2 linked regions of the Arabidopsis thaliana genome follow. The protein of the gene in region 2 purifies or fractionates together with the protein of the main gene of each other region. This does not show direct contact. Each region holds a gene or a part of one and is shown on either strand. Other genes may lie near its edges.

Evidence for each region. The genes of interacting proteins can lie anywhere in the genome.
Region 1: the proteins of AT5G25470 (region 2) and STRS2 fractionate together in Arabidopsis thaliana (co-fractionation; one large-scale study listed by BioGRID). This does not show direct contact.

The regions. Positions count from the first base shown.
Region 1 is NC_003076.8:2,792,556-2,798,311, reverse strand, and holds STRS2 (DEA(D/H)-box RNA helicase family protein), read right to left. Parts: upstream 3,925-5,756; 5' UTR 3,773-3,924; coding exon 3,531-3,772; intron 3,437-3,530; coding exon 3,330-3,436; intron 3,207-3,329; coding exon 3,151-3,206; intron 3,054-3,150; coding exon 2,829-3,053; intron 2,433-2,828; coding exon 2,226-2,432; intron 2,152-2,225; coding exon 2,065-2,151; intron 1,976-2,064; coding exon 1,880-1,975; intron 1,806-1,879; coding exon 1,590-1,805; intron 1,488-1,589; coding exon 1,305-1,487; intron 1,037-1,304; coding exon 764-1,036; 3' UTR 552-763; downstream 1-551. Other genes in the region: PDE340 (P-loop containing nucleoside triphosphate hydrolases superfamily protein), read right to left, coding at 4,253-4,480, 4,699-4,881, 4,966-5,181, 5,261-5,356, 5,445-5,531, 5,606-5,756.
Region 2 is NC_003076.8:8,865,135-8,869,614, reverse strand, and holds AT5G25470 (AP2/B3-like transcriptional factor family protein), read left to right. Parts: upstream 1-1,890; 5' UTR 1,891-2,031; exon of another isoform or gene 2,032-2,265; intron 2,266-2,363; 5' UTR 2,364-2,380; coding exon 2,381-2,482; intron 2,483-2,802; coding exon 2,803-3,163; intron 3,164-3,275; coding exon 3,276-3,397; intron 3,398-3,503; coding exon 3,504-3,761; 3' UTR 3,762-3,964; downstream 3,965-4,480. Other genes in the region: AT5G25475 (AP2/B3-like transcriptional factor family protein), read left to right, coding at 123-224, 535-585, 685-1,126, 1,224-1,348, 1,441-1,695; DGR2 (transmembrane protein, putative (Protein of unknown function, DUF642)), read right to left, coding at 4,221-4,480.

The DNA of each region.
Region 1 (5,756 bases), 6.1 Mb from region 2:
AGGTACCATTTATTTTTTATTTTTTCCGGGGAAATTAGAAGTTTTATTACTATTCCTAAAATGTTTCATTGCAGATTTGCATCTATGTCTGATTTTGGTTGGTGGCTATATTTCTAAGCTTTGTTACAGAAGACTTAGATTAATTAGGCTAAAACCTTTTGACTTATTTTTGTTTTCAGTGCGGTTTGATAAATTTGATGGCATGTCATCTTTGTTTTAGCTCCAAAATAAACATTTAGGACCATCGTTGTACCCTTGTTTTTTGTTTTAAAAAAATCAAAACATGAATTTGGTAGTTCGACATTTGAATCTATACAGTATACAACTACTCGGAGAAGAAAGTCAGTTCTCATTTTCAAATCCAGGTAATTACACCCACACCTGTGGGCTGTAAGACAGAATTTACAATGTTGAACAGCCTAGCTATGATTCAGAAGCAAACCAAGGACTACAAGTCAGGTTTAGTTTTCAGCCAAAAAGCCAATCGGAACTCTTTCTTTTTGGGTAACAAATTCGGTTCGGTAAGATGAACCGATTAGATAATTTTTTGGAAGAGATGAACCGATCAGTTAACCAAAGAAATTTCTATTTTTTCTGAATTTTTTATTTTCGGATTTTTGGGCTCCGAAACAAACCGGATCTTGACAAATTAGTAAATTACCAAATGAAATTCTTAAGAAGGTAACTTTTACCAAAATGCCAAACTTCAAAAAAGCAATAAAGTTCAACACAAACAATACCATTAGGCAAAGAAAGAGAAAATCTAGCGGGAACGATAATTTCTCTTTGCAGGTTTCTTGTCAAAACCTGGAGCGACTCTAATACCAGGAACGTTTTTGAGACCCATCTTGCCAAGAATATTTACAGGGATAGCCGGAGGGATGCTAAGTCCCATACTGCGGCTAAACTCATTAGCTAACTCCACCAGTCTGGTCGTGTCTCTAGCAATCTTCTTCTGCGATTTGTAGTAACCCAACCATGCCTGATATGCCGCCTCCTTGTTCGTCATTTCCACTTGGATAAGCCCTTTCTGCACCTGATTTTAACATGTTTTCAACACCCATCAATGCTCACTCGAGTTACATACTCTTAAGAAAAATTTGGCTTCTAACGTAAAAGAGGTTAGTTTCGTGAGATGTGAAAATCTTATTCCTTTGCATACATATTCCAATACAGTTTATATAACATTCTGGTTGTTCTGGTTTGCTACTTGCTAGCGAATAGAATTTACGAAAGGCTTGCTAAGTTCAATAGAGTCACAAATTCAGGCTAAGTTTACAGTAGTAGTATTTGAAAAATCTTACCTTTTTCACAGCCTCATGGTCTATTGGCGGTAAAGAAGACTTTGTGATGGGCAAGTCCTTAACAGAAGATAGAAAGTACTCTTCCCACGGTGCCAACAATAGTACACCTTCTCCTTCCTTACCTTTCCGCCCAGTTCTGCCAAGTCTATGTATATATTGTTCCCTGTCTGATGGCAATCCCATCTGCAAAAGCAACATACACACAACAACAACTTCGGTAAAAAAAAACAATCAACTTTGTAGATACTGTTCAATTCCATGATTGAAAACTACTACATGATTTACCTGTACGACTAAGGACACATCAGGGTAATCAACACCACGAGCAGATACATCAGATGTCACAAGGATAATACTCTTGGACTTGCGGAACTCATCAGAAACTCTGGTTCTGTAACTCTGCGGTTTTCTAGAATGGATCTCTCTGACGTTAAGGCTTAGCTTACCAAGCAGATCAGCCACCAATCTTGTAACCATAGCAGTTGTACAGAAAATAATAACCTGCAACAGCAAGGAGATCATGTTAATCCAGAATTACAGTGGTGATTAACAAAGGCATTGGAGGAACAATATACCTTATAGCCCACATTATCTGTGATGTGTTTTTTCAGAAGACCATATAGAAGCGAGAAATGTCTATCTAATGATGCAATCATGTACATTTGTGAAACCTGGGAGATAAAACAGACATGAGAAACCATTAGCATCCAATCATATGGCAGGCCATTGGTTCAAATGAACTTAAAAAGCAATCTTTTACCTTTTGATGCGTCTCCCCAGCACCCTCTTGAACACAGTTGACGAATTCATGATCCCGTTTCAGAGCAACATGGCATATTTGGCGGACCTTGATAGCAAAAAAACACAGTTCAAGATTCCAACCCAAAAGTGAAAGCCTTTGTGCAAGAAACTGACACTTACCTCATCAGATACTGTGGCGGAAAATAAAAATGTTTGTCTCTGCTTAGGAACAGCAGCAATTATCCTCTCAATTTCCCTTCGGAAACCCATGTCCAAGAGATGATCAGCTTCATCAAGCACAAGGACTTTCACACCCATCAACCTTGTTGCAAATCCAGAAGTGTTGTCGATATGGTCTTTGAGCCTTCCGGGTGTAGCCACGAGAATCTGAGAGTGTGAAAATATGTTATTATTCAAAAATATACAGAGACAAAGATCACCATCTCTGCAGCCACTTTGACTGCAGGGAAGACAAATAATGCAAAAAAATCTAAATGCATAATGAGGCTTAGATCAAAGAACATATCCTGTGACTGAAAAACAATCCTAACTTGGACAGGGAAATCCATTTCTTTTTAAAAAACAATCTATCTTAATTCATATTCTTAGAAATTCAAATCATGAGTCCATATTGTTCTAGCGAAGGATAACCAACTCAGTTTGAAAAGAAATATATGCAACTCTATTGGTCAGATAACAAGTTTCATCTGAGAAGTCCAGCTCAATGGAAATGCATGATTTGCTCAGAAATAAGTTTACATATTAATACAAATGAAAATTTACCTGGCAAGGACTCTTTTGCAAGCGCCTTTGCTCCGTAGGAAGCTTAGTGCCTCCAATCACAACTTGAACACCAATAGATGGGTGATACTTGAGCAAGATGTTTGCTTCTGCAGCAGCTTGACAAGCAAGTTCCCGAGTAGGACATACCACAAGCACAATAATTGGGGGATGCCTATTATCACGGCTTGCAGGAGGAGCTTTGATAACAGCTTCAATTGATGGAAGCTTGGAAAAAGAAACATCAACATTAATAACAAACCCCAATTAATCAAACTGATTGTAATCCTAAATGACCAACATGAACCCAAAAAGGGTATCTCACCAAAAATGCAACTGTTTTCCCAGTGCCTGTTTTGGCCTTCGCAAGGATATCTTTACCTGGAAAACCAAGGAAGAATAATTAATAGAGGAATAGTCAAGCTTCAAAATGTTTAAGTCATGACAAAACATAAGGAATCATGAAGAAAGATGCAAAAGTTTCTGCCTTTTAGGCAAGTTCACCTTGGAGAATGAGAGGAAGAGTAGCCTCCTGAACAACAGTCATTGTCTTAAATCCAGCATCCTCAATTCCTTTTAACGTTAAGGGAGACAGTGGGAACTGATCAAATCTGTAAGAACCATTTTACCATAAAGAGAAATCTGAATCAAACACCACTAAGAATAGCTCTGAAGCTATCTCCGAAAGAAACGCAAAAAATGTACCTTGTCTTTGACAAATAAGAATCTGAAGTTTTAGCAATTTGAGTCACTAGAGGCGTAGTAGAAGCTGGTTTCTTAATAAGAGGCTCATCAACATCAGATTTGCCTTCTCTTCCCCTCTTTAGACTCTTATTGTTGTCCTTGACTAGCTTTCCCGAGCCATCTTCGTCACTCGTCAACTTCTTCACAAGTTTAGCACGAATCTCTCGTCTCTTCTTACCGGATTTGGGTCCATCGGAATTCATGCCAACGAGTGGAGAAAAGACGGAAGAGAACGGTGAAGCGTATGCCTTTAACTGTAAGGCTCTGCAACTACCAAATTCCCGCCGTCGGTTATTTTAGGGTTTAAAAGGTTTTGTAGGAAACACAATTTAGGGCTTAAGGGTACAGATGCGAGTGGCCCAAAATGTCAACAAATATACAAAACGGCATGTAGTTGCTCCCTTTGCTTTGAAACGTGTTGTTTTATATCAGAAAAAAGTTTTGTTAAATCTTCAAACACGTATAATCCAACTTAATACTTTTTTTGTTTTTTTAGTGAAAATCGAAATACTCATGTTAACAAGCCATTACAAACAAAAGACCTTTATAAGAAGGCAACTTTTATAGGATTTTTTAGTTAGGAAGTCTTAAGAGTGTAGCAAGAATGACAAGAGACTACACGTCTACACTTACAAAACATTAAAGTTTTAAAACCAAAGCAGATCACTAGGAAAAAAGAAAATCTACTTGGTTCTAAGACCAGGAACGTTTTTGAGACCCATCTTGCCAAGAACATTTTTGGGGATAGCTGGTGGGCTGTCAAGTCCCATGCTGCGGCTAAACTCATTGGCCAGCTCCACCAGTCTGGTCGTGTCTCTTGCAATCATCTTCTGAGATTTGTAGTAACCCAACCACGCCTGATACGCCGCCTCCTTGTTCTTCATTTCCACTTGGCTCAGCCCTTTCTGCACCTGAATTCAACAAGTTTATTATACCCAGCAATACTCACTCATACTCACACCCTTCAAAAATCATAGCTTTTAACTTCAAAGAGTTGTGTTATGAGATTCAGGTTCAGTTTCAAGTTCCCTACTCATTCTGGATTGCCAGCAAATATGAGTTAAGAAAGGCTTGCCAAGTTCAGTAGAATCACAAATTCATGTGAGTGCGCTTATATGAAAATGCTTACCCTTTTCACAGCCTCTGGGTCTATTGGCGGTAGTGGAGACTTGGTGATGGGCAAGTCTTTAACAGATGACATAAAGTACTCTTCCCATGGTGCCAACAATAAGACTCCTTCCCCTTCCTTCCCTTTCCGCCCGGTTCTGCCAAGTCTATGTATATACTGCTCCCTGTCTGATGGCAATCCCATCTGCAAAAGCAAACAACTTCAGTTAAACAAAAGAGATAAAATTTGTAGTCGCAGAACAATTCCATGTCAGAAAACTATGGTTACCTGTACGACCAATGACACATCAGGGTAATCCACACCACGAGCAGATACATCAGATGTGACTAGGATAATAGCCTTGGACTTGCGGAACTCATCAGAAACTCTGGTTCTGTAACTCTGCGGTTTTCTAGAATGGATCTCTCTGACGTTCAGGCTTAGCTGACTAAGCAGATCAGCCACCAATCTTGTCACCATAGCAGTTGTACAGAAAATGATAACCTACAACAGCAACGAAATCGGGATAGTTCAGAAATACAGACATTGGTTATTCATAATGGCACTAGAGAGATAATGTTACCTTATAGTCCACATTATCTGCGATGTGTTCTTTAAGAAGCACATGTAGAAGCGAAAAATGTCTATCCAGTGATGCAATCATGTACATTTGTGTGACCTGGAGATAAAACAAACATAAGAAACTGATAACATCCAATCATATGGCAGGCCATTCACTCAAATTAAGCTAAAGAGAAATCTTTTACCTTTTGATGTGTCTCCCCAGAGCCCTCTTGGACACAATTGATGAACTCATGATCCCGTTTCAGAGCAACATGGCATATTTGGCGGACCTTGACACCAAAAAACACAGTTCAAGATTCCAACCCAAAAAATGAGAGCCTTTGTACTAGAAAGTGACAGTAACCTCTTCAGGTACGGTGGCAGAAAATAAAAATGTTTGTCTCTGCTTAGGAACAGCGGCAATTATCCTCTCAATGTCCCTTCGGAAACCCATGTCCAAGAGATGATCAGCTTCGTCAAGCACAAGGACTTTCACACCCATCAATCTTGTTGCG
Region 2 (4,480 bases):
GTACAAAGTGTTTGTTCTTTTTTTACTTTTCCAATTTTTTGGCTCTAATTTTATGAACAAATGCAAGTAGGTCATCATACAAACCCTAATTTTGCAGAACTGATCCAGCTTTGAAAAGAAAAATGTTGCCTAAGAATGCTATTGAGAAGATCCAAGCAAATGTGAGCAAGCCTTGCTTCTGGAAGTCTCTCTCTCCAGGACAAACTTGGAAATCTAAATCCATGGTAACTTCAATTATGACTCACTCCTCCTTTGATATTTACTCACTGTTCTTAGACTCTTTCTATTGAATTTGCTTTGTTACAAGTTTATAGCTTTGGATGTTGTTGCTAGAACAGTAAGATGTGATAATCCTTTCATGTTTAGTTTAGCCCTTTTATAGACAAGTTATTACAGAACTACCCGTTTGTTGTTGTTTGAAAAAGTTCAGATCTTTTCTTCTTTTAAGAAACTTTGGAGACATTCTAATGGCACAATGCCTCCTCTGCTTCTTGCTGCTTGGTCTTCATTTTGTTACTTATTGACCTGTTTTAGCTACCGTTATGGGTACTTTTACGTCGCAGGTTTCGTTTGCCCTTAGCTCATGTTTATGCTAGTGTTGGTTCTAGTCCTTTTCTCTGCATTTCTTGACCTACAATCCAATCTTTTAAGCTCGTGTTTTTGCTGCTTGTGTTTTTTCTGTAGAAAGTTATAACTTTTAGTCTCATGTTTCCTCTTTTGAATGTAAGTATTGTTTTGTTGATTTCTGGGTTTATTAAGAGGATAATTCCGGAAGACTTTGTGAGAAGAACGCGTGGTGCTTTTGAGCACAGAGTGGTGTTTAGTGTTCGTTGGGAAAACTCCTGGCAACTCTGGCTGGAGCGAGAGAAGAACGAGCTGTTTATGATAGAAGAAGATTGGAATGAGTTTGTAGACGACAATCATTTAGGTCCAAATGATAATCTGTTCATCAAACACGATGAGACGATGAATCTTGAAGTGCAAATCTTTAAGAATAATGGGGTTGAGATCATTGATGTACCTCTTGGAGTTGAACCCGAAACTGAACCATTTCATCCTACGCCCAAGAAACCTCACAAGGAGACAACCCCTGCCTCTTCCTTTGCCTCTGGCTCTGGCTGCTCTGGTAAGGCTATTCAGATCGATAGAATCATCAAACTCCAAACTATCATTTGTTCTCTATGCCAATGTTTGATTGGATTCTGTTTTGGTGGAATTCTCAGCAAATGGAGGGACAAATGGCCGAGGAAAACAACGTTCTAGTGATGTCAAAAACCCTGAGCGATACCTCTTGAATCCTGAAAACCCTTACTTTGTGCAAGCGGTGACAAAAAGGAACGACGTTCTGGTAATAATACAAGTGTTTACATTGTCAGCTTTTTATTCCATTTGTGGCCTAGAAAGCTAAAGCTTGTCTTTGTTTCCTGCTGTATGTGCAAGTATGTGAGCCGACCGGTGGTTCAGAGCTATCGCTTGAAGTTTGGTCCCGTTAAGTCCACCATTACCTATCTTCTTCCCGGGGAGAAAAAAGAGGAAGGCGAGAATAGAATCTATAACGGGAAACCTTGTTTCAGTGGCTGGTCGGTTCTATGTCGGAGGCACAATCTGAATATCGGAGACTCCGTGGTTTGTGAACTTGAACGCTCCGGTGGTGTGGTTACCGCTGTAAGAGTGCATTTCGTCAAGAAAGACTAGACCAATCCTCTCTAGTAACAACAATATGTTATTTACAACTTTCTGTAACAATGCTAAATGTGTCAATTATGTGTTAGTTTAACAAACTTGTCAATTCACTTGCAATCGAATCGATTCTAGAGTATGATGGGCCAGTTTCTAATATGGGCCATATCCGGCCCAATAATATTGTTTGACCATTTTATTATTTCCATACACAGTACACATTTGACACTTGTCACAGTGCTGTTGACTGTTGAGTCTCCTCTCTTTCTGAAAGCAGAGAGATTCGATTTGGAGAACAAGGGCTGAGAAGAGCAGACACAGCAGCGAGAGGAAGCTTCTTCGACTGCGACGGTGCGTGAATTTCATGCTCCGGCGACGTTACTTTTGACGCAATTACTTGCCTTTTACGCATTTACTTTGTTCTGACTTCTGACCTAAGTTTTTTTCCCCTTTGACCGTACAAATTTTGCTTCTTTCTTCGTTTTTCTCTGTGTCTCTCATTAGTCACCATTTTCGTGTTCTCTGCTTTGTAACACTTTCGGGTTTAGCTACTGAAAGTAAGAAAAGCGAGATAACGCATTAAAGGTTTAATTTTTATCCAGTTTTACTGTTTCACTGATTTCATTACATGCAAGTCATCTTCGTCTTTGTTTATGAACCCTAATTTTGCCGAATCCATCCAGCTTTTGAAGAGAACAAGATGTTGCCTAGGAATGCTACTGATAAGATACAAGGAAATGTGAGCAAGCCTTGCTTTTGGAAGTCTCTGTCTCCAGGACAAAACTGGAAATCTAAATCCATGGTAAAACAAAATTAGTCTCTCTTCTTTTCTAATCTTTCGAAAATGTAGCTCCTTTGATTTTGTACTCACTGTTATTTCCATTGAACTTCTTTGTTTGCTCTAAAGATCTATTGTTCGTTTGTTGTTCTTGTTCGAAAAAGCTTTTGATCTTTCAAGAAACATTTGAGGAGATTTTAATGGCACAATGATTCCTGCTTCTTGTTCTGCTTGACAAGCTCGTGTTCTGCTGATTGTATTTTAGCTTTTAGTCTCATGTTTCCTTCTTCTAATGTCAGTATCGTTTGTTGTTGTCAACTGTTATGATTTCTGTCTTTATGAAGAGGAGTTTTCCGGAAGAGTTTGTGAAAAGCACGCCCGGGGCTTTTGAGCACAGAGTTGTGTTCAGTGTTCGTTGGGGCAATTCTTGGCAACTCTGGCTGGAGCGAGAAGAAAAAGATCTGTTTATGATAGAAGAAGATTGGGATGAGTTTGTGGATGACAACCATTTAGGCCCAAATGATAACGTGTTCTTCAGACACGATGACAAGATGTTTCTTGAAGTGCAAATCTTTAAGAATGATGGGAACGAGATCATCGATGCACCTCCTGAAGTTGAACCTGAAACTGAACCATTTCATCCTACTACACCAAAAAATTCTCACAAGGAGACAACCACTGCCTCTGCCTCTGCTTCTGCTTCTGGTATGGCTATATTCAGAATGAAAGAATCGTTTTGATGCTCTTCATACTCAATACTACTCTTTTCTTTTCTCTCAATGCCAAAGTTTGCTTCTTTTTGTTTCTGTTTTGGCAGAATTTTCAGACAATTGGCGAGAGACACATGGTTGTGCTGATATCAAAAACCCTGAGCTGTACCTTCTAAACCCCAAAAACCCTTACTTTGTGAAAACGCTGACAAAAGGGAATGACGTTTTGGTAATAAGAGCAGTGTTTTCATCAGTTTTGATTCTAGTTTACGTTTGTTGCCTCTAAATCTAAGACTTATCTTTCTCTCTATTTCTCATGTACAATGTGCAACTAGTATGTGCCCAAAACAGTGATTAAGAAGTATGGCTTGAAGTTTGGTCCCCATTTGTCCCCCATGCATTACCTTCTTCCCGGAGATAAAATAAATGGCTCCACTAAGATCTATGGCGGTGGCAGTGCCCCTTGTTTCAATGGCTGGGTGGACCTATGTCGAAAGTACAATCTGAAAACCGGAGACTCTATGGTTTGTGAACTTGAACGCTCTGGAGAACTGGTTACTGCTGTTAGAGTGCACTTCATCAATAAAACATGAGATGAGTCCTCTCTAGTCTCTTTTCTTTAACATTCGTGTTTACCAAACTTACTATTGTAATGTTTATATGTGACCCTTATGTTGCTTTAACAAAACTTAAATGCTAAATTTCTTATGCTTCTGTTACTTCATTGGAAATGCTCGATTGTGATTCAGTCTTATATGCTCGTGAGAAGTAAAATATGCATACAACTTTATTGTAAGTTTTGTAACTCTTCCATAAAAATTAAAAGGCCTAGATACATAAGATATAGGCAACGTTTCTTTTGCCTTCTCATACAAGAAAATACAATATAAGCAAAGGCCCATCTGCCTATATAAAACCCTAACTCTCGTAAATAAAACTCTGTTTTTTTCACCTTCTCGTTTCAATAAAATCCAACACACACCAAAGACAGTTTAAGGAAAATAAAAGAAGACCACACGATGCATTTTCTTGTAATAGGATTGGTGATTCATCTATGGTTTACGAACGCTTATAAGCTTGACATCATCGATCACAGGCCCACACAATGACGAGAAATCATCGCTCCTCATGGCATAGAAAGTGCTGTAGAACATAATTCTTGATCGGGTCGAAACCGCCACAAATCGAATAGAAGCTCGTTTAAACCCTCCTGTGCCTTTCGACTCGTAAGGGACCTTAAGTGTATCTTTTCCTGCAAAAGCCTCAACCACCATTGATCCTTTGCAAGCATTGTTGGCGTCTCCAACCGCAA